Linked DNA regions of Drosophila melanogaster. The protein of the gene in region 1 purifies or fractionates together with the protein of each later gene. This does not show direct contact. Each region holds a gene or a part of one and is shown on either strand. Other genes may lie near its edges.

Region 1 (10,302 bases):
AAAGTAAATACAGAACTGCCGCACGAACGTCTTCTCCGGAGTGCAAACGCGATCTGAATCGCGAACATGAAATTCATAGCGGCCCACTAGCTCTGCCGGCGGCTCTGCTGAGAACCCACCATCAGTGGTGTTGGTGTGGGCGAGAGTGGAGCCTCGCTCTCTGCTCTCTCTCTCTCTCTTTGGCCCTCTCCGTAGCGGTGATGTTATTTCGTACGTTTATTCATAGGGTTTTGGTACATGTTAAAAATCGCAACATGATTAGGCTCTACGAGTATGTGGTTACGCGAAATTATATATATGTAGTTGTATATAGCATGAAGCATTTAATACCAGCTGCGGCTTTGTTGGACTTCTCTATTCGCCCGGATCCTTGAGCACGAGGAGTACTGAGTAAATACCATGGAAGCTACATATGTACGTGTGTGCCTCCAGGATGTCTTGATCGAAGCGGAAAGAAAGCACTAACACTAAAGAACGGATTGGGTGCGAATAGAGAAGCCATTGCATGTGCCACTGCAACTTCTCATGGGTCAATCACATCCAACCCACCAAGGTTTTCATATAATCTAGTTGTCCAGTACGCTGCGCTTCAGCGCCTCCTCCAGGTCCGCGTCGAAGCTCTCCGGCTTGGAATAGTCTGCAGCAAACTTGTCCTTGACCGGCTCCTTGCTCTGAAACTTCTTGTCCACCTGCCCGTTCTGCTTCTCCTTGCCCGTCGTTCCGAAGGAGGCGTTTCCGAAGTCACTCGAGAAGTTGTGTGCCTCGAAGCCATCGAACTTGGCGAAGTTGGCGTTGGGGCTTGTCTTGAATTGGTCCTCGAAATTGTCGTTGAAGGCGTCAAATGCCTTTGCCCTTTGATCGTTGGGCCTGACCACGCCAGTGGGTACTGATGAGCTCTGGATCACACTGAAGTTGTCGTTAAATGCATCAAAAAAGGAATTGTTGAGTTTCGTATTGCCAGTGGTTGTGGCCGTGGTTGCAGCCCCAGATCCACCAGTGGTTGCCAGCGTAGCTGCGAAGTCGTCGAAGTCAGCGAATGCGTCCAGCGCCGTCTGCGAGTCGTGGCTCGGCTTGGAGTTGGAGTGGTACGAAGTGCCTGAGTGGTGCGACGGCGCCGGACTCGAGTTCAAGTTGAAGGCGTCGAACTGCTGCAGCAGGTCGTTGTTTAGCGGCGTGGCCGCCTTGGGCTTAATGCTATTATTGTTCACGATGTTACTCAGAGTTTTGGCGGCTGATCCAATCTCATCTGTGTAATAGAAAACTTTATTAGATAGGAATAGGCCCGAGAATAGCACTATACTCACCACCCGAGCTAAAGTCCTCCGCAAAGTTCCTCTTGTGGTCAGCACCCTTGCCTTCTGACAACTCCTCCTCGCCCTCTTCGGCAAAAGGATCCTTGATGCTAAATGGATCTTCGTAACGGTAATCCTTGAAGGGGTCATCCTTGAAGTCGGTTGGCCCTGTAATGAGACTGGGAGTCGGGGCCTTCCGAGTTCCAATCTCTCCAAATGCATCAAACACACTGACTACCGCCTTGGTCTCCAATTTCACATCCGCCGTCCTCTGGTTCTGCAGCGGTGTATTGGAACGCGACAGATGCTGGTTATTCAAGCTGGGGGCGGTGGTAATGGTGACGCTACTGGGGAGGTCTGCCCCCGCTCCCGCTACCGATCCCGATCCTGATGTTGATAGAGAAGCCAATGCCGGGGATGGGGCTGCTGGCGTGGATAAAGATGTCTGGAGCAGGGTGTGTACGGTGGGGACAGTGATGGGCGTGGGATTGGGCGTGCTTGCCGCCTGCTTGTGGATTTGGCCGGGATCGTCGAATAGCGTGAAGCTGTCTAGCAATGACGATCCACTGACGACCGGAATGGGGGCTGGGAGCGTGGGTGGGAGCGGGGACAGTGCAGTGGCCGAGGGCGAGGGTGCGCTTGGAATGTGGTGGAGCTGCGTATATGCGTTGTGTCGGGGGGGGGAATAGAAGTGAATGAAACAAAAATAAATTAAAACGAATTCAAATTAAGCGAAATCGAAAAAAAAAAACACAACAAAGGGGAAACCGAAATCAATCAGGGTCAACAAAAGCGTTAAAGCAGCCACGGAGGATTGAGTGGTTCGTGTGAGATTGTGACCAGCACCATGAGGATATTGGGTTTCCCCAGCAAGAGAACTCCGACAGGCGTACGTTGAATGATGTCGAACATAGATATCTTTATTAATAATGCAAAACGTTGTGTCGGTTACATTTCTGTATCGGTTAGGCCGGGCTTCTCTAAAAGTTGCTCTTGCAGTATGTATGTATGTGGTATGCACGGAATATGAATTTTCATTAAATCAATGCTCGGAAGCTTCTTAGTTTCGGTGTGGGTGTTCGTACGTCTGTGGCTATGATTATCGAGGTCTGGCAAATATATATATATATATATGTATACAAGTAGTTTATATAGTAGAGCGGAGACCAACCCCCTTTCAAGCCGAACTGCTGGTTACACCGCGACGCACTCCAGACCGGGAACACTGAGCGGCTCTAGAAGCTGAGTGGAAAAGGGTTTCGGTAAATAGTAATAGGCAGTCCGGATCCGGAGGCGGACCGCCCGTAAAAGTCGAACTTTCGCGGCAGTTACATAAATATCTGTATGTTTGTAAAATGCTTGTAATACATGTATATTATGGATGTATAATTGCTTTAAACTTTAGTATTCGCATATGCAAAAACAACAAACAACTTGCAATAAATTCCTTACAGAGGAGGTCTCTACCCTCAAAACCTAATCGCGATAATACACTGGCCTTGAAACGATTCGAGGGGAATCCATAATATTAATAATAGTAGGTAAGTACAATACTGCACAGCAAAGGGAGTCGAACACTTGGAACTCTGGGGATTCCTTCCGCCTGCTGTCTGTTTTAATTTGAGACTACATCTATAACACGATACGTAACGCTTGAAATTGGTTTGAGTTCGGTTGAGTTTCGATTGAATTGATTTAGTACATTTAGCTAATTAGGCATGAACGATAATGCTGCGTCCTCTAGACATTATACCATGCACCGTGACTGATATATATACGTTAATATGCTGCTGCAAATAGCTTTGTACGCTCAAATTGATTTGTTCGTTATGCTGCTAGAGGAGGCCATTCATTAACTGAGTATGTGTGTTAGTACTGGTATATGTCGTATATAGAATGGGTTATCTTAAGGTGTTCACTGAAAGTAGAGAATTGCAGAGATGAAAGACCAGACGGTTAGTTCAATACGGCACCAAGCGAGAAGACCATGGCATGACAAAGCTACTGGGATGTACGAGGTTGGGTGGTGAGGTGATCTGGGTGGAATGTGTTCCGTCAGTACCTTCTACTAAGGGTAAACAAAAGGTGCTACAAATCCAAAACAAGTCAGAAATCATAATACTCAAGGGCTACGTTCTTGGAGTGTGCATCAAAGTGTTTTATTTCTACAAAACTCAGGAAGTGTTAGTGATAATAAACTTAAAACCAGGGTTTAGCGCGGCAATAAATGCCAGCAACATAAAAAAACTCAGGGATTCGGGTGCGGGGCGCATGCATTACCACCGATCCCAGCGGACACTGAATTGTGGGGTACCAACCTTATTGTCGAAGTCGTCAAAGTCGGCAAATCCTCCTCCGCCGCCGCTTCCGAAACCACCCGTGGGCTGGCAAACATAATAATTTAGGGATTCTCCATTGTACAGCATAAAGGAGTCGTCTTACCTGGGCTGCTCGTGGTGGCGCTGGTCGTGGGGGCGGCACCTTGGACTTCTTTGGCGGCAATGCTGGACTAGGAGACTCCGGTCTGGGCGGCGGTCCGGACTTCTGGGCGTTGGGACTGAGCACCTGACCCTGGCCGGTTGGAGCATGCAAGGCAGCAAACGGATCACTGCCGAAGTCGTCCTTGCCGGGCTGTATAAGATTGGAAAAGTGATTCGGGTACAAATAAGAGTGTTCTATTCTAAATCCTACCTCAGGAGTAATGGCGTTGCTCTTGTTGGCTGCAAAGGCATCCGAGCCGAATGGATCCCGCTGGGTCTGACCAAAGGCTGAGCCCGCTCCGCTCTGACCAAAGGCATCGAAGCCACTATCGAAGCCTGAGCTCATGTTGAAGCTGTCATCAAAGCCTGTAGAAATAGCCGGCTTGTTGACCGGCTGACCGGAGAAGGGATCGCTGCCAAAGCCGTTGGTAGCTTGATTGGCGGCGCCGCTGTTGTTCTCCTCAAAGGGATCATCCTTGGGCAGTTGCACTTCCTTTGTCAGGGTCTTGCGCGCCTCATCAAAGTCCGGCTCTATCTTCAACTGGTATTCGGATACGAGTTCCGCGTTTTGGTTCTCCATGGCAGCCCGACAAATGAGCAAAGCGTCGGTCATCTGTCGCTGCGTCTCCAGCAGCTGTGTGACCATTGATCGGACCTTCAGACGACTTATGTTAATCTCTGATCACTTGATTGTATCATGTGTAGTCTTACCGAGCTGATTTGCAGTTGGGTTGCCTGCAGGTGGTTGGTTAGCTTGGATAACTCCCGATTGTTGCTGTCGTACTCCTTTTGCAACGAAGCTTCTTCGTCCTTGAGCTTCTGCAGCTCCGAGCGTTTTGCGTTTAATTCGCCCTCCTGCTCGTTGATGGTCACCTCCTGCATGTGGCACTGGTCGCGAATCTTGGTCACCTGCAAGCAAGCGGGTTTCTCGATCAATAATTAGGCTATTTTATAAAAATATTTCGGACAACAGATGGTCAAAAACATAAATTACATGGCCGAGAACAAAACACAAAAGAAATATATACAGAAATCATGAGAAACTGAAACAAACCTGCTCGTTGGTGCGCGATATGTCAAGACTTACGTTGGCCAGCACGGCCGTATTGTGGCTAACCTTATGCGATCGTAATTGTAAGTGTAAGTGCATTCACCGGTTTAGTATGGATTTAGCCAATAGTTAACAAAGTGGTGGGGGAACATGATAAAGAAAGGAAACCAAAGATTGAATTTAAATATAAAATTAAACGTAAGCCCAGGAGCAAGGAAAAGGCAAGCAGTGGCGCAGGGGCCAAAAGCACCCAAAGAATCATGCAAATAACTACTTGAGCCTGCAGGTCATCCAGTCGCTTCTGGGCCTCTCCTCGCTGGTTCTCCAGCTGCTTCAGTGTGGCGGTAAGAGTATCCAGTTCACTCTGTGGGTGAAGATTCTGAATTATTAAATTCGACTTGGAAACTAGTTACAGAAGACTCGCCTGCAAACTGCGCACTTCGCCGTTTTTGATGCGCACATCCGCTTCCTTTTGGGCAATCTCCGTCTCCAGAACCCGCCGCTCACGGGCCAACTCCTCAATCTCCTTGGAGATCATTTCCAGCTCCGGGTTTGAGTAAGTGGGCTTGACCTCCTGCGGCTGCAGATCGACTCCAGCCACAGTGGCGCGCATTGAGGGCGGCACCATATTGGCGTTGAGGACATGTGGCGGGTCCACACCGCGCTGCTTTCGCTCCACGAACCACATGGCCAGTGCAAACTGCTCCACAGTCAGCTTACCGGACTGATTGGTGTCACAAAGAGCCCTAAAAGGAAAGGCATCGTTATAGATATTTTGGCAATATCTATATACGAAATAACTACCAGATGTCTGCTAGGCTTCGCTGCGGAATACCCGACTTGATGAAAATATCCTTCACCTCAAGGCCGGAGACCAGGCCGTCCTTATCCAGATCCGATTGCCGGAAGATCTCCTCGAACCGCTTTAGGTCCGCTGGGGTGACAACCCAGTCGGCATTCGCCATCACCGGAGCCCCAATCGGTATCAATGGATCCGTCTGAATCAGCGGCTGAGAGCTGACTGCTCCCACCGGGGGAATGCGCGTCATGGGGGGCACAGCCACCGGGAGCGGCGGAATAGCCGCCGGCGGGGCTATATCCTTGGGAAAATTTGCTACAAATCCGCCGTCCCCAAATCCTTCCCCACTGGGAGCACGTGGCATAGCAGCACCCGCTGGCGGTGGTGGCATGGCTGGCTTCGGTGGCGGACCTGCTCCTCCGGGCTTTCGCAGCTCGGGCGGCAGAACGCTAGGAATGGTGCGCTTCTGCAGCGTCTGGTAGACCAGGTGCATGGCAACCACGAATTCGTGCATATCCAGGTTGCCGTCCTTGTCCTGGTCGGCCAGGTCCCATATAGTTCCCAGTATGCTCATGGGCAGCTTGGAGTCCATGAGCACGCCTTTAACCTTGTTGCCCGGCAGCATTCCATTACTGGGATGCAGGGACTCGAAGAGCTGCTCGTACTTGAGCCGATCGATCACCCCGATGGACCAGTCTCCGTTTGCCACTCCGCCGCTAGCAACGGGAACAGTCTGAATACGCGACGGCATCGTTTTTGGTAGTTCACCCTGGCGATTGGGGCGACATTAATGTAATATATCTCGTCTTGCCCATTTCGGGCGAAGTTGCGATTACTCACCAACTTGGGCGGGTTGGCAATGTCCAGGTAGATGTTGGCCATGCTGGCCACCTGTCCCGCCTGCGACAGGGACACCAGCTTAAGGGCTACAAAAAAGCCCGGCTTGTCCAGAAAGCCCTTGCCGCTCGGATCAGACAGGTCCCAGATCCTGCTTAGCACAACGTCGCTAAGGCCCGACTTCTTGAGAAACTTGGCCGCAGTCATGGCCTCGATTGCCCCTGTGCCTTTGGGGTCAATCTGCAAAAATCGATAGAGGGTGGGTGTGGATACGGATGCTCAACATTGGCCGCCATCCTGGTAACAGTGCGGCTTGGAGGCGTGGTGCGCTTACCAGTTTGTAGTAGGCCTCGTAGACGCCTATGTGCTTCCCGCACACCCTCGCAAAGTCCACATTCATGGTGTGGAGTCTACTGGCAATTGGTTCCGACTAGCAGTGCAAAAACGCGTAAGCGTAAGCCCGTTATCACAAAATCGATTTTTTCTTCCCAAGGGGCGGATAAGCTGCTCTTAGTCAGCCGTCGGCGGAGTCCTGCTGCCTAGCACCTGTGCACCTGCGACGAGACACTTGCTGGAGCCACTTACAGGTGAGCTTGGCGCATTGCGGCCCCTAATTTAGCTACTCTCGAATTTTAAAAAGCCTAAATTTGCTTTTTTGCTCGGTGGATAGTGTGACCGTTCGGATAACGATTAAAAATACCGTACGGCTGATGATTAAGTATACCACTAGGTAAAATGCGTTAAAATACCACATAAATTAATACCGTTAAATTAACGAACATTATTATTTTTTTAAAGTATAATTTTTTAAAATTCATTTGTCTATATTTATTCCTTTAACACTAAACGTGAAGAAAATTGTGTACTTTGAAACGGACGGTGCAGAACAGCAGTAGCTTATAAAAATGCAATGTTTCCGTTACCCTAACGGAACAGATAATGTTTAAAGTTTAAATTTTTAATTCTAATTCTTCTTTAATGAGTATATTTCCTGTATGGATCTCTAACTTAAGCTAGAACTTAGAGCAGACGAAGGCGGCAATTGGGGGCCCCGCACTGGCAGTACAACACCTTGCCGGGCACCACGCCCACCTCGTAATTGTAGTTCCAAGTCAGCTCGGTGCCGGAGCGGATGTGCGCGGCCGAGAAGAAGGCAACCCAGGGGAAACGCAGGTCGTGAGTATCCACGAACACGTTCTGCACGAAGAGATTGGGGCTGCACGAGTGCTGCGGGAGAAGAAGAGAATCAGCCACACGGCAAAATAACAAAAAACTTCCAACTCACGTTGAAATAGCGTCCAAGGTTGCCCGTTGTCTTGGCGTCCATGATGTAGGGCGCCTCGTCCTTGCCGAAAAGCCTCCGCACCGAGTTCTCCCGCACCGTCTCGTCCAGATCAGCATTTGGGTTAAAGTTGATCACCGCACGCTCCTGCGAGTCCAACTCGCTGCTCTGAGTGGAGCTGTTCTGCGTGGAGCCGCTTCTGGAAGAGCGCTTGATTTTGCGCTGGTAGTGATAGTTTGGCCGGAAGTCGTCATCGTCCTCGGCATCGGGTCCCCCGTTGTCCTCCTCGGCGTCCGGGTCCGAGTGGTCCACCTCCGACTCGTATCCCTCTTTTAACTGTTCAGCGACCTCTATGTAATCTAAGTCCGCGAAATACTCGTCGCCGGCGTCCTGTCCGCCTTCGTTGGCCATCGTCTCCGTGAGCAGATGGCCGGCGTAAATACAGATGAAAGCACCCTTGGGGATGTCGTTAACGCAGCGCAAGCCCCATCCACGATTTGAGGTCTTGAACACCTGCAGTTTCATCTCTAGGGAGAACTGCACCACCCGGTTCAGGCAATTCTTCTTGCACTTGCAGCGCGAGTTGCACTCGTAGATGCCGGTGGGCACGTGCTCGTGGAGCCGCTTGTACTGGTAGCCTATCTCCTCGATGGGTTTCTTCGGGTTACAGTACCGCACGCCCGCCACCGTTAGCTGCCAACAGGCGCACTTTGACTTGTCCTGATAGGGATACACAAAATAGTGGGCGGCTGGGTATAATTTGAGGTAATCAGATCTGTAAGACGTCTTACCGAGCAGTCGTCCTCGCAGTCGCAGCACAAGAGGAACTCCTCGTCCAGATTCAGATGAACACCCTCGGTAGGGATGCGCTGCTTCGCGTAGGTGCATGGGGGCGGCAGGGTGTTGTCGTAGTAGTTTACCAGCGGAATCGCCATCTTCTCCTGCCCCTTTGAAATGTCCGTGTCCTTCACGATCGAGGGATCAATGGAGTACTCGGCCAGACACTTGAGGTCGGGCGTAAAGTCAAAATTGTCTACGTTCAACACATTTTCAGTAGCTCGAAGGTACCTGTGAACTTCGGCCAGGCTGCGCAAGCTTTTGCCACAAGGTCCCTTGTATACCACAGACTTCTTGGTCTTCTGCCGCATGACAAGACGTTCCCAGCCAGAAAGCAGAGGCTTCGCTAACGGACTGTAGCTGTCCAGACGGTGAACGATCTTAAAGAGGCAGTTCGGGCTGCACTCGTGGCACTTGTACATTTTGGGAGGCAGATTCCGCTTGGCTGTAAAGTAGACTACATGGCCCTTGGGCCTGTTCTCGTCGTCCACGTAGATTGTCGAGTTGTTTAGGTGTCGCACAGCACTTGCGCTATTACTGGTGCTGACACCTCCTGCATTGGTGCGTCCTCCGGCTGGGGTTGCTGCCGAAGATGCAGCCGCTAATGCGTTATTTTGGGCGGAGGCGCTGCTCTTGCGGGCAAAGGCACGCATCTGCTGGTTCACCTTGCTGCTGGACTCCATCTCCTTGGTGTACCGAATAAAGGGCTCCGTGCGCTGAAAAAGAAAGACATTTTGTAGTTAGGACCGCAGGATGAATCGACACGATGCTTACTCTTGGGACACGCAGCTGCTGTGCGCTTGAACTGTTCATATTGTTCTGGGTTTCCCTGAAGACAGGACCCAAGCGCAATGAACCCCTGTATATCCACTCCGTATGGTTTTTGTCGCCCTCAAACTGCATCAACACCAAGCTGCAGTCGATGTCAATGACGCGCGCGTACAGCCAGGTCCCGTTCGATTCAGTGGTCATACTTTGTCCCCGGGTGCATTGCACCATTGGACGATCCACGGAGTACTTCTCCACGTACTTCTGTATGAAATCGCGCGATGCGGCGTGTACGTCCTCCCACACTTTCTCGGAAGCCTGGCAAACTAGACGGACATCGCGGTGCGGAACGTACTGAGTGTACCCATCGTCGTAGAATATTAGGTAGCGGTAGCGATTGGCCTGCTTCAACGGCTCAGCGATGATGCCTGGATAAAAGGCGCTCTGCACCACGCCCTTATCCTTGCCCCGCGACAAAGTGGTGCCATCGAAGTACGCAATCACGCGGGTACCTAGTGCACAATGAGTGGGTTAGTTTATAGATTGATAAATAACCGGTCTATTGGGAACTAACCAATGGTCAGTCGCACTGGCGGTGGTTCGAAGTAGGCAATGTGCTTGGCCGTCACTGTCTTGATCATCTGGTACGGAGTGTTGAGGTACCTAATCTTGTAGCTCTTCATCGTGTTTCCGTTGATGGCGGTGCTCTCTGTAAACTCGATTACCTTTATGGACACCCAGCTGGCAATAGCCTTGTTCTTAACAGCGTAGTATGTCTCTCCCAACTGTATTGGAGGACGCACGATTTCGCCAGGAGGTGGAACTTCATGCTGAGTAAATGGTTGTATTAAATCAGATCCAAACGGCATCACTTCTTACTTACCACATAGTCACTGGGTTCAATGTCCAGGGTGGGCAGATGTTTGTGTGCCACCGGACACGAGTTATACAAAGCG
Region 2 (7,236 bases), on another chromosome or scaffold:
GTTAATGCGAATCAGTGTGTGGTAAATTTGGGATTTAGGCTTTCTTTTTGACAGTTTCTGTGAGGTTTTTTGAAATGTTTTCAAATCTAAAGTGTTAAGTGTGTTTCGGGCTACAAAATCTGAACAAAAACAAAGAAAAACGGTGAAGATGAGTCGGTACCAGTTGGTGTGGAACGTATGTGGAATGTGTTACGTGATCTTTTTGGTGAGTTTTGCTGCTCTGTGTTGCGGCTCGGTGTGGTGAGAGTTGAAACTTTAGTTTCAAATCAAATCAGATCGAATATTTTCAGTATGTCCCATTTATAATTGGCGGTTTTTTTTTTTTTGTGGAAAAGAAATTGAAGTTATATGAGATGAATTGACATTCAGACTTACTTTTCGTTTGTTTTTGCGTTTGACTTGGTTTTTTTTTTTTATTTGCTATACAGAAACTTTGGACTTTTGCTTGAATAGGCTTTAGACTTTTTTGCTCTTTTTGTTTTTAAATTCGTTTTGGTTTATGTTTATTGCTGTTTAAGTGCTCCAAAGCAAGCTATATATGAGATACAAGATAAATACAATCAAAATACATAGTAAGAGAGTACACATACGGATATACATATTTATATAGAGTCAAATGTCGGTTGTGTCTGTTGTTGCATCGGTGCAAAACACACAAATTAATAGATAAAGTAATCGCCAAACTCAAGTGCACCAAACAAAAAGAGTGAAAGCATATGTTGAAACCAAACTTGAGATACGAAACCCTGAGATTTTAAAGCGCTGCTTTAAAAACCGCACCAGACTTTACAATACTAGATACATCCAGCCCGAAAGCCTCTAGAAGAAATAATTCAATTTGCGGGCAAACAAAAAGCAAACGGAAAGGAAAAGCATGGCAAAAAAATAAAACAAAACATGGCAAAAGAGTATTTCCCTTGACATTTCAAAGTCGACTAGGGAATACACAGCACAAAACTAAATGAAGATATAATTTTTTACAAACTGAGCAAAATGAGCAATTAATGTCACATTTATTTGCCAGCGAAAGTGCTTGTAATCAATTGAATTTTAACCATTAACCATATATAGAATTTTATATTTACAAGAATATTATTTTTGCAGCAAACTCTTTGAGTATTACCAATCAATCTCATTTAACTCATAGAGACTCTGCTTGAACTTAACCCATGGCAGACCGAAACAAGAAGCCGCAAAAGTGCAAATAGCCTGGGCTCAAGAATCAGAAAGTGGACAGACAAACGTCTACGACTATGTCTGGATATGCAAATTTTCAGACCAAACTGCATTATGCATTAAATGGCGACCCACAAGCACAGCGAGAATTCATAGCAAATGAATTGATTTTCCACCGCCCTCTTTGCGCGGTTCCATCTATTTTTAAATGCGAAGAATGCTAATCAAATTGTTATCGATTTTGTTGCAAAAGCGAAGAAAGTTCTTTGAGAAGAATTTAGAGTAATGTGGTTCTCGACCATTAAGAATTTCAAATATATGTACATATATATTTATAGCTGATTAAGCATAAGATAATTACGTGCATGTGTACAAAGTAAGACCACGCGTTTTACGGCTTTGTTTGGAAAAAAGTAGATAAAACGCAAAGTACGTGTGTTACTATATTCACTATAAACACTTTATATTGTTGATAAATTTATTGAAAATAATATAATCGAGCAATAAATAAAAGAGGCAAACATATTCTTGATAAGCGAATACCAAATTTTATTAGGCTATCGATAAGACTAAGAAATCCAAATATATACCACTTTCTTGTTTCGAGATATAGTAATTTGATTAGATATCACTTTAAAAACAATTAATAAGGGCAATACTTTTATAACAACATATAACATAATGAGGCTTGTTAAGATATTTTTGTCTTTTCGGCAGTTAAGATAGCAATTAACCCCAGCTGGCCCCAGCAAAATCTCAGAAATACTGCTAAGTTAAGTGGCGTTTATTAACCAGTTTGTAGCTGAAGAATCGCTGTAGTTTCTGATATAACCACCGTTCTTTATGCGGTCCGACGGGTCTGCATTTATTTTTGTTTATTTTTCGTGTAAACAACGCACTTGACACATATCGAGAAGAGCCGGCTGTGGGGAAACTCCATCGAGAACCCGCCTCAAAACTGTATCTCACAGATAAACCCGTTCCGCAGGCATTCGAGCTATGCGAGAAATCGAGTTAATATTGGTATGAGGGGGGAATACTCATACTCGTAAATGGGCAGTGAAATTCATTGACCGATGATCGTAGTAACGATCCACTGCGAAAAAGGGCCGTTTGTCTGCCTCGTTTGTTTGTTTTCATTTGGCCAATGGAAGGCGAAATAATTTAATTAAATGTCGCGCAGTATAAGACGGGCGAAACAAAAAACACTACGCAAATGAAGTGCAAGAGTCAAGTAAAAGTGGGTGGTGGTGATGGTGACGGTCTGTTTTTGTTGTGGTGGTGGTCTGAACTTGAGCAAATTGAATGCCAGACAGAGGCAATGACGAAGCTTTCTTTGTGTTTCTGTGCACTTGACTTTCGGCAAAACGTCACCGCTTCGTTTTATTGCCAAAAAAATATACAGCTGCGCTTGTGTTGGTATCAAAACAAACAGAATGCCCAACGAGTTGCGAATCACTTTGTTCCAAAGGCTGCGAGCCTTGACGCCAGCCAGCGGTTCAATGAACGTATACACTCGTATAGCTAAGAGACGGAAAAAGCTCCCCAAACGCTCCAAACACCGAACTAAACTCGAAATGGGGAGCTGCAGCGTGTGCGTTGTTCGCCGATTGATATGCGCGGTGGTACTGATCAGTCTGCGATCACTCTCGTTATATCCAAACGCAATTAAATGCGAGCAAAATATTCCACATTCACGAGGCTATTTGACGTGCACTATTGTCAGACGTTTAGCATGTTTCCGCTAAGATGAAAAATATTGATGAAAGCCCGTCAGTAGCCCCACAATCTATGATTCCTAAATACATACTTTTTATCTCATCATTAAACAACGAGAAAGCTTTTCTATTTAAACCCTGCAGATTGAACTCAATTCTCTTACAATCTTGGGATTAACAAAACTTAAAAATTTAATACATATTTAAAAATTGAATTGAATTCGCAAAGATCTGAGGATTGGAAATTATAATTTTGGTTGTTTCGACTTAAGGAGAGAATACTGCAAACAAACATTGAAGATTGTACAACGAAAGACCATAATAATAATAAAATGTCTGTGTTAAACATCTGCTTATCTGGTATCTACGTTACTTTCGCAAATGAAATGTTTGCTTTTGGTTTATGGTTATCTTGAGATGTTTTTCTATTAGCACCTCAAACAGGTGGAAAGGGCTAGCCGCTGGTGACGAAGGTCACTGCTCGCTCGCTGATGCTGCCCACTGTGCCACACGATCGCCGGGCCCCTCCTCGATCCGCCTCGGCGTCCCCCATCACCTCCTCCATACCGCTGGCACTGTTGCATTTTCCAATGTTGCTGCATCTGTTGTAAATGCGGGCGTATATTAGGTATCATTTGTATATAATATATTAATGGCTACATGGGTGCTTTCTGTGGCTGTGTGCGTATGATAACGAGCCAGAAATGCGATTAGATTTCATTTGTGACACTAGAACTACTCGCACCTACACACACACGTATACGCACACGGACGCACTGATTGGGGGGCACACGAATGTGCGAAACTTCATTCATTACTCATCCGCCCCCCCTCGCAAACATAAACCCGTTTCCACCCACGCCCCTGGCAACCCTGGATCCACTATGACTAATCACTCGACCGGCTAACGGCAGTTATCAAATAAAAAAAAAAACAACAAAAAACAAAAGCCAAAGAAGCGCTATCAATAAGCATATGTTGTAAAAAACGGTTAGCGGGGAATTACGTTTAGACAAGGGGGATCTATAATTACGGAAAATTATTATTTAAGAAAAAGAAGCCCCAAAGAGAAAGAGAGACAGAAATATGTTTGTGGCCCCCTCCCACTTACTCTTTCGCTCACCTGCAATGTTTCTGTTATTGTTGGTTTTGTTGCTTCACTGCAGTTCGCCTTTGGTTGTGTGTGTGTGCGTGTGGGGGCTCCGCTCGGCTGTGTATGTGTGTGTCTGTGTGTGCGACTCCTCCTCCCCAACTAGTTTTCTTTTCTATATTTTACGACTTTCTTTTCTTTCTTTTTTCGGACTCGAATAGACACGGTCACAAGATGACGATGACGACAATGCGACGTCAACAAAGGGGGAAAATAGTATAGCTGCGCGCACGATATGGATATCCAAAAATCCTGGCACTCTATCGGGTTTATAGGGCTCTCGACTGCGATTGCGATGATATTGCAACTTATTTACCCTTTGCACTCTGCGCACAAAACACGAATTATTATTTCTTTCTCTGCTTTTCGCTTTGCACTAGTGGTGGACCAGAATTGATGGGCACTCGAAATATCGCGATATCGATTTATTCCTGAACCTATCGGTTCTTATCAGTTTGGAGTATAAGTATTTTAAAAATACTAGCTCACAGAAGAGCAAAATTATTCCTGTTATTTAATTATATTCATTTGCTTTTGGTATGTAAAATTTATAAAGGAATAACAATTTATCTTTGACCATCAACTACCGTCGTTCTTTTTATTTTTCTATATGTACAATAAATATTTAAGCTTTTAATTAGTAGAATGTTAAAATTATCTACAAGTTGTTTACATAGTAATTTAAATGTAACGCCGATATTTTTGAGTTGTCATCCCGATTTTTAAACATGATACTCGATGATATCGATAGCTGTGACAAATCACCTATCGATATCACTTGCATTCTCAAACTTACCAAACTGTGGTGAATTTGCTTGCGTGAAAGTGATAACTTTACTTCTCTAAAGTATTTACAGTTGTGCATGGATATTTTCAACATCAAGATTTAAAATTCTGTGTTCTTCTAAATATATTTTCTTATTGTTAAATTAGATAATCATTTGGTTTTTAGATTCTTGTTTTTGTGAGCTGCGAATATCTTAGTTCCCACCTCTACCGTTAGCGGTTACCCAAAATGGCGCCAACAGAACATTTTCAAAAACAAAAAAGGAACTTTGCACTTCCGTTTCAACCATTTTATGAAAAACAACGGCAAGAACATTGCCAAGTTCTTTAAGAAGAGAACAACAAACTCGACTTTTATTTATGATTTTATTTAGAATACCATTTTCATTTTCGTATAATTACACGCTAAAATCTATTTTCTCATTTTGTTAACGAACTGATAACAATATATTTTCTCGTTTTTTTTTATTCGTATTTTTTTCAGTTTGTGCATGTGCACGACTACGGCTGTGTTTGTGTGTGTGTGGTTTTGTGTGTTTGTATGTGAGTGAGTGCTTTTCGTTATTAACATTAGCTCGATGCGATTTGTTGTTGCTGTCGTTTAACTCTAAGTACCTACTTGTAGATGTTCAACGTTCATACGTGTATACAGTTATTAAATATATATAATGTGCATATGCAGTTGCATATTCGATATCGCCAACTTCCTGTTTCTATCGGTCTTGCTTTCGTTTTTTAATTTCACGGTTTGTTTCAATTTATTTTTTATGATCATACTAAACCAGCGGAAAATATATCACCCATTTCGATGTGTTTCAATGTATCAATGTATCAGCTCTAGATATTTAAGAGATTTTAAAATACATAATTTATATATTTGGATTGTTTTCTGCAAATAGTTTAAAATTCCGTGAAATTGAAAACCGAAAGAGTTCCGCTTGCCAACGCCAAAGCACACATACGCGAAATTGAGCCCCCAACAAATAAGCTTAAATCATAAGACTGTCCTCGTACGTTTGTCCCGAATGCAGGATTACATCAAAAACCCAGTAATCGTATCAAATTTTGCATAAAATCGACGAAAAAACTCAACAAAAAAGCGTTTGGTCTGACAAACTGTTCGATTTAGCGATGGCTTAAATAAAACATAAGAACTAAGTTAACTTAAGGCATACAAATCCGAAACTCGCTCCTTCCGCCGTTTGCATGCTGCTCCGTCCGCTCTCCATCGATTCCACCGCCTCCATCCCTCTGCGATTTACAGTAAAATAATGTGGTTATTTTCGGGGGATTCCCCCCGAGGAGCCAAACCCCCAGGCGGAGGACTCACTCCTCCGGCGGTTCCTCGGGAATCTGGAGGCTCTGCGCCGCGTGGGGATACTCCGCGTGCACTGAGTTAGAGTGCACCGACTCGGAGTCCTCCTCCAGCGCATTCGCCTTGCTCGGAGGCGGCGTCAGTGCATCACTGCCCACTGGAGGCTGCACCAGATTGGGGATGTACTCGACCGTCTCGTACTCGGTCTTGGCCACCGCCTCGTGGTCCAGATCCCGCTCTAGTTCTCGCTCCCTTTCGCGTTCCCTCTCCCTTTCCAGATCCTGCTGCAGGGGATCTAGAACCACTGGCGGAACGAGGGCAGTTTGATTGACTGTAGTGTCCGGTGGATTGGGATCCTGGAGTTCCACAATCACGGGCAGCGTTTCATTGGGTTTCGGTGTTGTGGTGCTGGTGGTAGTCGTCGTGGGTGCTGTAGTCGTAATAATCTCGATGGGAGCCACCTGACTACTGGTCTCCGTTGTTGTTGTCGTCGTTGTGGTACTTGTGGTTGTCGTGGTCTCCTGTGTGTAATTGGTTGGCACTGGATTCGCAGTGGTAGACTCATTCTTCTCAACTTCCGATTCCACAGGAAGTGGCAGAGGCGGTGGCGGCGTTGTGGTGGCCAGCAGAAGTGGTGGTGGTAGTGGCGATATCACCGGATTGACCAAATCGGTGCTAATGAGCACTGGATTACCCAGAGTGGCAATAAGTGGCGGTAATAGCTCATTATTGGCCTTGATCAGCGATGGTACGATCACCCGAACCATCGGCTTTGGAACCTCGCGGCCCGTCAACTTTAGATTGGTCACCATTATGGGCAGGTTCACATTGTATAGCATCGGGAGCACGGTGCACACCTCCTGGTCATTCTCAAAGCACTGGGATCGACCACGAATTCGTGCCTCCTGAACGGCCATCAATCGACACAGCTCGTTCAATCCCACGTCACACATTATGGGATTGTCTGGAAAAAGAATAATTGAGTTTATAGATTTATATTACATGATTATTATAAACACAAATGTATAGTACTTCAGCTTAAAACGAACGAGAAACTTGTTTGCATGCGCAGTTTCTATTCATTTAATACT
Region 3 (7,026 bases), on another chromosome or scaffold:
CCCGCCCCTCTTGTGACCACCCCTTGTATCTTCCAGATCCTTCAGCTCCAGTTTTGCAGTGCGCTGTGCTTCGGCTACTCGTTCTTGAAGGGCCATCACCTCATCCTCCTCGCACTTATACAGTGTCAGTTGCTTCCCCAGTAGATGTTCGATGCGCTGATACAACTCAATGTCGTACTGGCTCACGAGGGTTATGGCTTTGCCGGAGCGACCTGCTCTTGCTGTTCTTCCCACGCGGTGAATGTAGTCTTTGCTGTGCGTTGGTATGTCGAAATTAACGACGACATCCACATGAGGAATGTCCAAGCCGCGGGACGCCACGTCCGTCGAAATGAGTATTGACCGGTTTTTGGCCTTGAATTTGTTTAAAGCAGCTAGTCGCTTGTTTTGCGACATTTGACCGTGCAGCGGAATAGCAGCCAATCCCAACGCACGAAGCATTAACGCTGTCTTAACCGTGTTGTTGCAGGTGCTGCAAAATATCATGAAACTGTTGCCTGCCAGCTCATTAAGGATATGAACCAAATACACATCCTTGTATTTGACAGGGATAAACAAATATGATTGCTGCAGCTGCTCAACCGTCTGATACTTGTTAGACACCTCTACCTTTACGGGATCCTTAAGGGAGGCACGCTGCAGTTTCTTTACTTTCTTGGTCATGGTCGCACTGAACAGAAAGGTTCGTCGTTCACGCGGCAATACCTTCAGAATCTTGTCCAGCTCCACCTCAAAATCCATGTTAAGAATGCGATCCGCCTCGTCCATGACCAAGTATTTAATAGCCTTAAGGTTAAAACCTTTCATGTTTTCTAGATGATCAACCAAGCGACCCGGTGTGGCAATTATAATATGCGGCTTCTTGGCCAGTTGAAGACCCTGGGCTACCATGTCCATGCCGCCGACTACCACGCAACACTTTATGCCAATCCCGCTACCTGAAAAAAACAGAGCTAGCATAAGTTTGGCAGAAGGAAATTCAAGAATACGATAAATGGGAAGGTTTTTTTACTCAGAGGTAGTGACGAATAAGAAAATTATAATTTCATATTTTCGTTGATACACAAAATCAAAACAGGTTTAACATCACTGCGAATTAAAAGCACATAAACTATGCGAAAACTCACCAAGGGCTTCAAACTGCTCGCCAATTTGAAATGCCAGTTCCCTCGTGGGGGTTAGCACGAGGGCAAAATACCGCTGCGGATTCTCGAGAAGGGCGTGTAAAATTGGCAGAGCGAAGGCGCCCGTCTTGCCGGAACCGGTCTCCGCTAGGCCAATTACATCCTTGCCCTGTAAGGCGACCGGAATGGCCTCACGTTGGATCTTCGAAGGCGCCTTCCACTTCAATTCGTCACATGCTTGACACAAAGCCTCATTGAGACCCTTTGAAGAAATATGGCCATTCGATTAAATTTTAATTTAAATTAATAGTGGGGCTCATACGAGATCTTTCCAGGTTAGCTTCTGTTCCTCGGCTGCGTCGTCCTCGGAGCCTTTATCATCTTCACCACTTAGTGCCGCCTCGCTGTCCCCTTCCTTATGATTGTTATCTTCATCTTCCTGCTCCTCCTCGCTACCTAGATCCTCCTCTTCGTCACTCGTTTGTAGCTGCGTCTGTTCGTCCTCTGAAGTTTCCGACATTTTGTTACATGAGTTTCAGAAAAATTTCACGGTACGGACATTACCAATAGCAGCACGTGGTCGAAATAAAAGAATTAGAGGCGGTAAAATAGAAATAGAACTATTTGCGATATTATCGATATAGTTGCGTCTTTAAAACAGTGCAGATTCATGATAACTTTCGATAGCTAATGTGCGATATATCACATGCACACTTAATAAAATTTGTAACTCATTCATACTGAACCATGATCTTAATTACAGGACTTAGTTATAGTGCAAATAGTTTGTTTCGGAAATATATTCACATTTGTATAAAATCGTAATTTGTTAGAAAATTGTTTAATATTGTGATTTTGTCATTTCAGTTAATATAACAATGTTTGAAAATAGATGGTGAATACAAATTTGGTATACATCTTTTTCCATCGCGCAATTTTAAATTAATGAAACGCCAATTAGAGGGTTGTCTGTCATGAACTGTCAACGAATAAAAACTGTTTGACATTTTCATACACAAATGTTATTGATGCTATTATTAACAATTCCGTTAAATCCGGAACAAAAGATTTCTGAATAATTGTCATTTTTAATTGTATAGAAATATTAAAGACAATAAAAGAAAAAAATAGTTGAAATAATTTAACTGACTTGTACTTAACATTTTCTTATAATTTTGGATATTCGAATTTTAATCTTCGATTTTGTTTATTGCGATCTGTTGATGTTTTGGTTAGGTATACATTTTCGTATTGTGTTAAATGCATCATACTGCCGACATAATTTTTATGAGGTTCACTGTAGAAGTAATATAATTAATATATTACTCATAGTCAGTAGTTGTTTCATTTATTTAAAAATCCGTTAGCGGCTAAAAACAAAAACGTTGCAGAATAGTCACATCCAACTTAAGGTCACCGTACTTTTCAACACTTGCTTGCTATAATCACAGAAACAAGCGACGGTCACCCTCCTTCGATTATTAGTCCGTACCTATCGGAGCCTATCGTTCGTCGATATAGGATCCTATCATATAAAATATTGATTAAAATTTACGCAAATACAAAATTTTCTTGTTCCGATGAAAAGTAAGCAACAAAATTACAGTTAAGAGGGATATATAAGAGAATAACGTGTGCGTTGGCGGGGACCATACCACATCATTACTTATCAGTTAATTCGTGGCTATGCGGTTGACAAGTGAAAACGCCTACTAAAGAGAAACTAAAACCTTCAGAAAGCGAGTAAAGGGGGCAATCTATCTTTACAACCTGTCCATTGAGATCGCTTAATATTTTTGGAAATGCTTTATAGGTAAACCATAAAAATCCATTGTGAAAATTTGTGGGGGTGGTGGATACTGAATAGGCGATAGACGTAGTAAAGAGAGCGGCGAAAAGAGTGCGGAGCGAAAGAGTTTGTATTTGATGTGTACTCAAAAGTAGCCGAAGAGAGCGCACTAATACACACGCATACGGAAAAAGGACGATAAAGAGGAAGAGCTTTCCGTGGAAACTAGGATAAAGTGTTTGCCCAAAATGAACTCGGCGGTGGATGCGTGGGCTGTGACCCCGAGGGAGCGTTTGAAGTACCAGGAACAGTTTAGGGCACTCCAGCCGCAGGCAGGATTCGTTACCGGCGCCCAGGCCAAAGGGTTCTTCCTGCAGTCCCAGCTGCCGCCCCTGATCCTGGGCCAAATATGGTATGTATATTACGCCCCCATGAATCATCCACCGATAAGAGTGTTAATTCTTACTCATTTTCTTATCTCCAGGGCTCTGGCGGACACTGATTCCGACGGCAAGATGAACATCAATGAGTTCAGCATAGCCTGCAAGCTTATCAACCTCAAGTTGCGCGGCATGGACGTTCCCAAGGTTCTTCCTCCCAGCCTGCTGTCGTCTCTTACCGGCGATGTCCCCTCGATGACGCCACGTGGCTCCACAAGCTCCTTGAGCCCTTTGGATCCACTCAAGGGAATAGTTCCGGCAGTAGCTCCAGTTGTTCCCGTTGTGGCTCCACCGGTGGCTGTGGCTACTGTCATTTCACCGCCTGGAGTCTCAGTGCCGTCTGGCCCCACACCCCCCACCAGCAATCCACCTAGTCGCCACACGTCTATCTCAGAGCGAGCGCCATCGATCGAGTCTGTGTAAGCATCACTTAGAATCGAATTAATGATTTAATATTATTAATGTAGCAAAGAAGAGATAATTTAATTAATTAAATTTCAAATATTCTTAGTTATTGAAATATTAGCAAAAACATATATATAATATCGTATCTGTTCTTAACTCCTCAATCAACTTCTATCCTTTTAGCAACCAAGGAGAATGGGCCGTTCAAGCTGCCCAAAAGCGTAAATACACGCAGGTGTTCAATGCTAATGATCGCACCCGATCTGGTTACTTAACTGGATCCCAGGCACGCGGCGTTCTCGTACAGAGCAAGTTACCCCAGGTCACGCTGGCCCAAATCTGGACGCTGTCCGACATCGACGGCGATGGACGGCTGAACTGCGACGAGTTTATTCTTGCCATGTTCCTATGCGAGAAGGCCATGGCTGGTGAGAAAATTCCGGTTACCTTGCCCCAGGAATGGGTACCGCCCAACTTGCGCAAAATAAAATCGCGACCGGGATCGGTCTCAGGGGTGGTATCCCGTCCTGGCTCACAGCCGGCCTCCCGACACGCATCTGTTTCATCCCAAAGCGGAGTGGGAGTCGTGGATGCTGACCCAACAGCCGGACTACCTGGACAAAGTAAGTGCTTAATTAACTCCGTTGCCAAACATGTGAATATATTCCATATATTAACACTTGTGATTTCGCGTTCACCAGCTTCCTTCGAAGACAAGCGAAAGGAGAATTATGTTAAGGGTCAAGCAGAGCTGGATCGTAGGCGCAAAATTATGGAGGACCAGCAGCGCAAGGAGCGGGAAGAGAGAGAGCGAAAGGAGCGTGAAGAGGCTGATAAGCGTGAAAAGGCTCGTTTGGAGGCCGAGCGTAAGCAGCAGGAGGAACTAGAGCGACAGCTCCAACGCCAGCGAGAGATTGAGATGGAGAAGGAGGAGCAGCGCAAGAGGGAACTGGAGGCTAAGGAGGCGGCCAGAAAGTAAGGACTTTTATCTTGCTTTGAGCGACAAAACAATGTATACAATTTCTATTGTATCAGGGAGCTTGAGAAGCAGCGCCAGCAGGAATGGGAGCAGGCTAGAATTGCCGAAATGAACGCACAGAAGGAGAGGGAACAAGAACGTGTTCTAAAGCAGAAGGCACACAACACCCAGCTTAATGTGGAGCTCAGCACACTGAATGAAAAAGTAATGTTCTTAAAGTACAACTAATCTATATGGCTGGCCTATCTAACTAACTCGGCTTAATTACAGATCAAGGAGCTTTCGCAGAGGATTTGCGACACTCGTGCCGGCGTGACAAACGTAAAGACCGTTATCGACGGAATGCGCACCCAGCGCGACACTTCCATGTCCGAAATGTCGCAGCTGAAAGCGCGGATTAAGGAACAGAACGCTAAACTGCTTCAGCTCACCCAAGAGAGGGCCAAGTGGGAGGCCAAGAGCAAGGCCAGCGGGGCTGCCTTGGGAGGGGAGAATGCGCAGCAGGAGCAACTGAATGCCGCATTCGCCCACAAGCAGGTGAGCTTTGGCATATACGTAAAGTTTTAGTATTCAACGGATTCTCTAAAATACTATTTACCTTTTTCAACAGTTAATTATTAACCAAATAAAGGATAAAGTCGAGAATATCAGTAAAGAGATTGAGTCAAAGAAGGAGGACATCAACACTAATGATGTACAGATGTCTGAGCTCAAGGCCGAGCTCTCCGCTCTAATCACAAAGTGCGAGGATCTGTACAAGGAATACGATGTGCAGCGCACCTCGGTGCTGGAATTGAAGTACAATCGAAAGAACGAAACTAGTGTATCGTCGGCCTGGGACACAGGCTCTTCCAGTGCTTGGGAGGAGACGGGTACGACTGTCACCGATCCCTACGCAGTTGCGAGCAATGATATCTCCGCACTGGCCGCTCCAGCTGTGGACTTAGGGGGACCGGCCCCAGAAGGATTCGTGAAATATCAAGCAGTATACGAGTTCAACGCACGCAACGCGGAGGAGATTACCTTTGTGCCTGGTGACATTATCCTGGTGCCATTGGAGCAGAACGCCGAGCCGGGATGGTTGGCTGGCGAAATAAATGGCCACACCGGCTGGTTCCCTGAATCCTATGTGGAGAAACTAGAAGTCGGTGAAGTTGCTCCTGTCGCCGCTGTCGAAGCCCCGGTTGATGCTCAAGTGGCCACCGTGGCTGACACCTACAATGACAATATCAATACCAGCTCGATTCCGGCAGCTTCCGCAGATCTGACTGCCGCCGGCGATGTCGAGTATTATATAGCCGCATATCCTTATGAGTCCGCCGAGGAAGGCGATTTGAGCTTCAGTGCCGGTGAGATGGTCATGGTCATCAAGAAGGAGGGTGAGTGGTGGACAGGTACCATTGGTAGCCGCACGGGCATGTTTCCTTCGAACTATGTCCAAAAGGCTGATGTGGGCACAGCGAGCACAGCCGCTGCCGAACCGGTAGAATCTCTTGATCAGGTAAGTGGATAGATAGTACATAATTAAGTAATGTGTGGGGCCATTTGCGTTTTAAATTGATTGGAACTAGAATCAAGAATTATAATATTATTATGTATACAAAATCGTGTACAATTTCATATTAAAAAAAAGTAAGCGACATTATTTATATAAGAGAGAAGTGAATTTAGTTCCCATATAAGAGAATATAAACGCTAAATATACAGGCCAACACTTTATCTTACTTGTAAAGAGTTTACAATCCCGAAGTCTAGAGTCGTGTCTAACCGTTGCCCTCACGTCCATCTACTAATCCAATGCTTTTCATGTGCTGTGCTTTTTGCTACCGTGTTACACTTGCACTGACCCAGGAGACGACGCTAAACGGCAACGCTGCCTACACCGCTGCTCCCGTGGAGGCACAGGAGCAGGTTTACCAGCCGCTGCCTGTTCAGGAGCCCAGCGAGCAGCCGATATCTAGCCCAGGCGTTGGCGCCGAGGAGGCGCACGAAGACCTCGACACTGAAGTTTCCCAGATAAATACACAGTCCAAAACACAGAGCAGCGAGCCTGCCGAGAGCTACAGCCGACCCATGTCACGCACCTCTTCCATGACACCCGTAAATAGTTGACACAGCCCGTTACCACTTCATTTATTGTTTCATTTAATGAACCAACATCTTTTTCGTCATCATTTTGCAGGGAATGCGTGCCAAGCGGTCTGAGATTGCTCAAGTAATCGCGCCCTATGAGGCAACCAGCACGGAACAGCTTTCGCTGACGAGAGGCCAATTAATAATGATCCGTAA

What was found. The genes of interacting proteins can lie anywhere in the genome.
Region 2: the proteins of Eps-15 (region 1) and lqf purify together in Drosophila melanogaster (affinity purification with western blotting, with the first as the bait; 2 studies listed by BioGRID). This does not show direct contact.
Region 3: the proteins of Eps-15 (region 1) and Dap160 purify together in Drosophila melanogaster (affinity purification with western blotting; 2 studies listed by BioGRID, with this or other methods). This does not show direct contact.

Annotation. Positions count from the first base shown.
Region 1 is NT_033778.4:24,768,115-24,778,416, forward strand, and holds Eps-15 (epidermal growth factor receptor pathway substrate clone 15), read right to left. Parts: upstream 7,152-10,302; 5' UTR 6,860-7,151; coding exon 6,794-6,859; intron 6,700-6,793; coding exon 6,463-6,699; intron 6,392-6,462; coding exon 5,628-6,391; intron 5,570-5,627; coding exon 5,248-5,569; intron 5,188-5,247; coding exon 5,098-5,187; intron 4,890-5,097; coding exon 4,827-4,889; intron 4,682-4,826; coding exon 4,484-4,681; intron 4,428-4,483; coding exon 3,984-4,427; intron 3,924-3,983; coding exon 3,735-3,923; intron 3,677-3,734; coding exon 3,611-3,676; intron 3,211-3,610; coding exon of another isoform or gene 3,208-3,210; exon of another isoform or gene 2,184-3,207; intron 1,948-2,183; coding exon 1,305-1,947; intron 1,247-1,304; coding exon 567-1,246; 3' UTR 200-566; downstream 1-199. Other genes in the region: egg (eggless), read right to left, coding at 7,480-7,686, 7,745-8,461, 8,533-9,294, 9,353-9,858, 9,921-10,176, 10,230-10,302.
Region 2 is NT_037436.4:7,525,968-7,533,203, reverse strand, and holds the start of lqf (liquid facets), read right to left. Parts: upstream 4,425-7,236; 5' UTR 4,018-4,424; exon of another isoform or gene 4,006-4,017; intron 776-4,005; exon of another isoform or gene 591-775; intron 533-590; 5' UTR 377-532; coding exon 376-376; intron 79-375; exon of another isoform or gene 1-78. Other genes in the region: ltl (larval translucida), read right to left, coding at 6,157-7,109.
Region 3 is NT_033779.5:21,137,924-21,144,949, reverse strand, and holds the start of Dap160 (dynamin associated protein 160), read left to right. Parts: upstream 1-2,602; 5' UTR 2,603-2,711; intron 2,712-2,937; 5' UTR 2,938-3,161; coding exon 3,162-3,325; intron 3,326-3,397; coding exon 3,398-3,772; intron 3,773-3,941; coding exon 3,942-4,381; intron 4,382-4,459; coding exon of another isoform or gene 4,460-4,471; coding exon 4,472-4,733; intron 4,734-4,793; coding exon 4,794-4,941; intron 4,942-5,007; coding exon 5,008-5,274; intron 5,275-5,347; coding exon 5,348-6,238; intron 6,239-6,588; coding exon 6,589-6,837; intron 6,838-6,919; coding exon 6,920-7,026. Other genes in the region: pths (porthos), read right to left, coding at 1-938, 1,128-1,386, 1,447-1,644.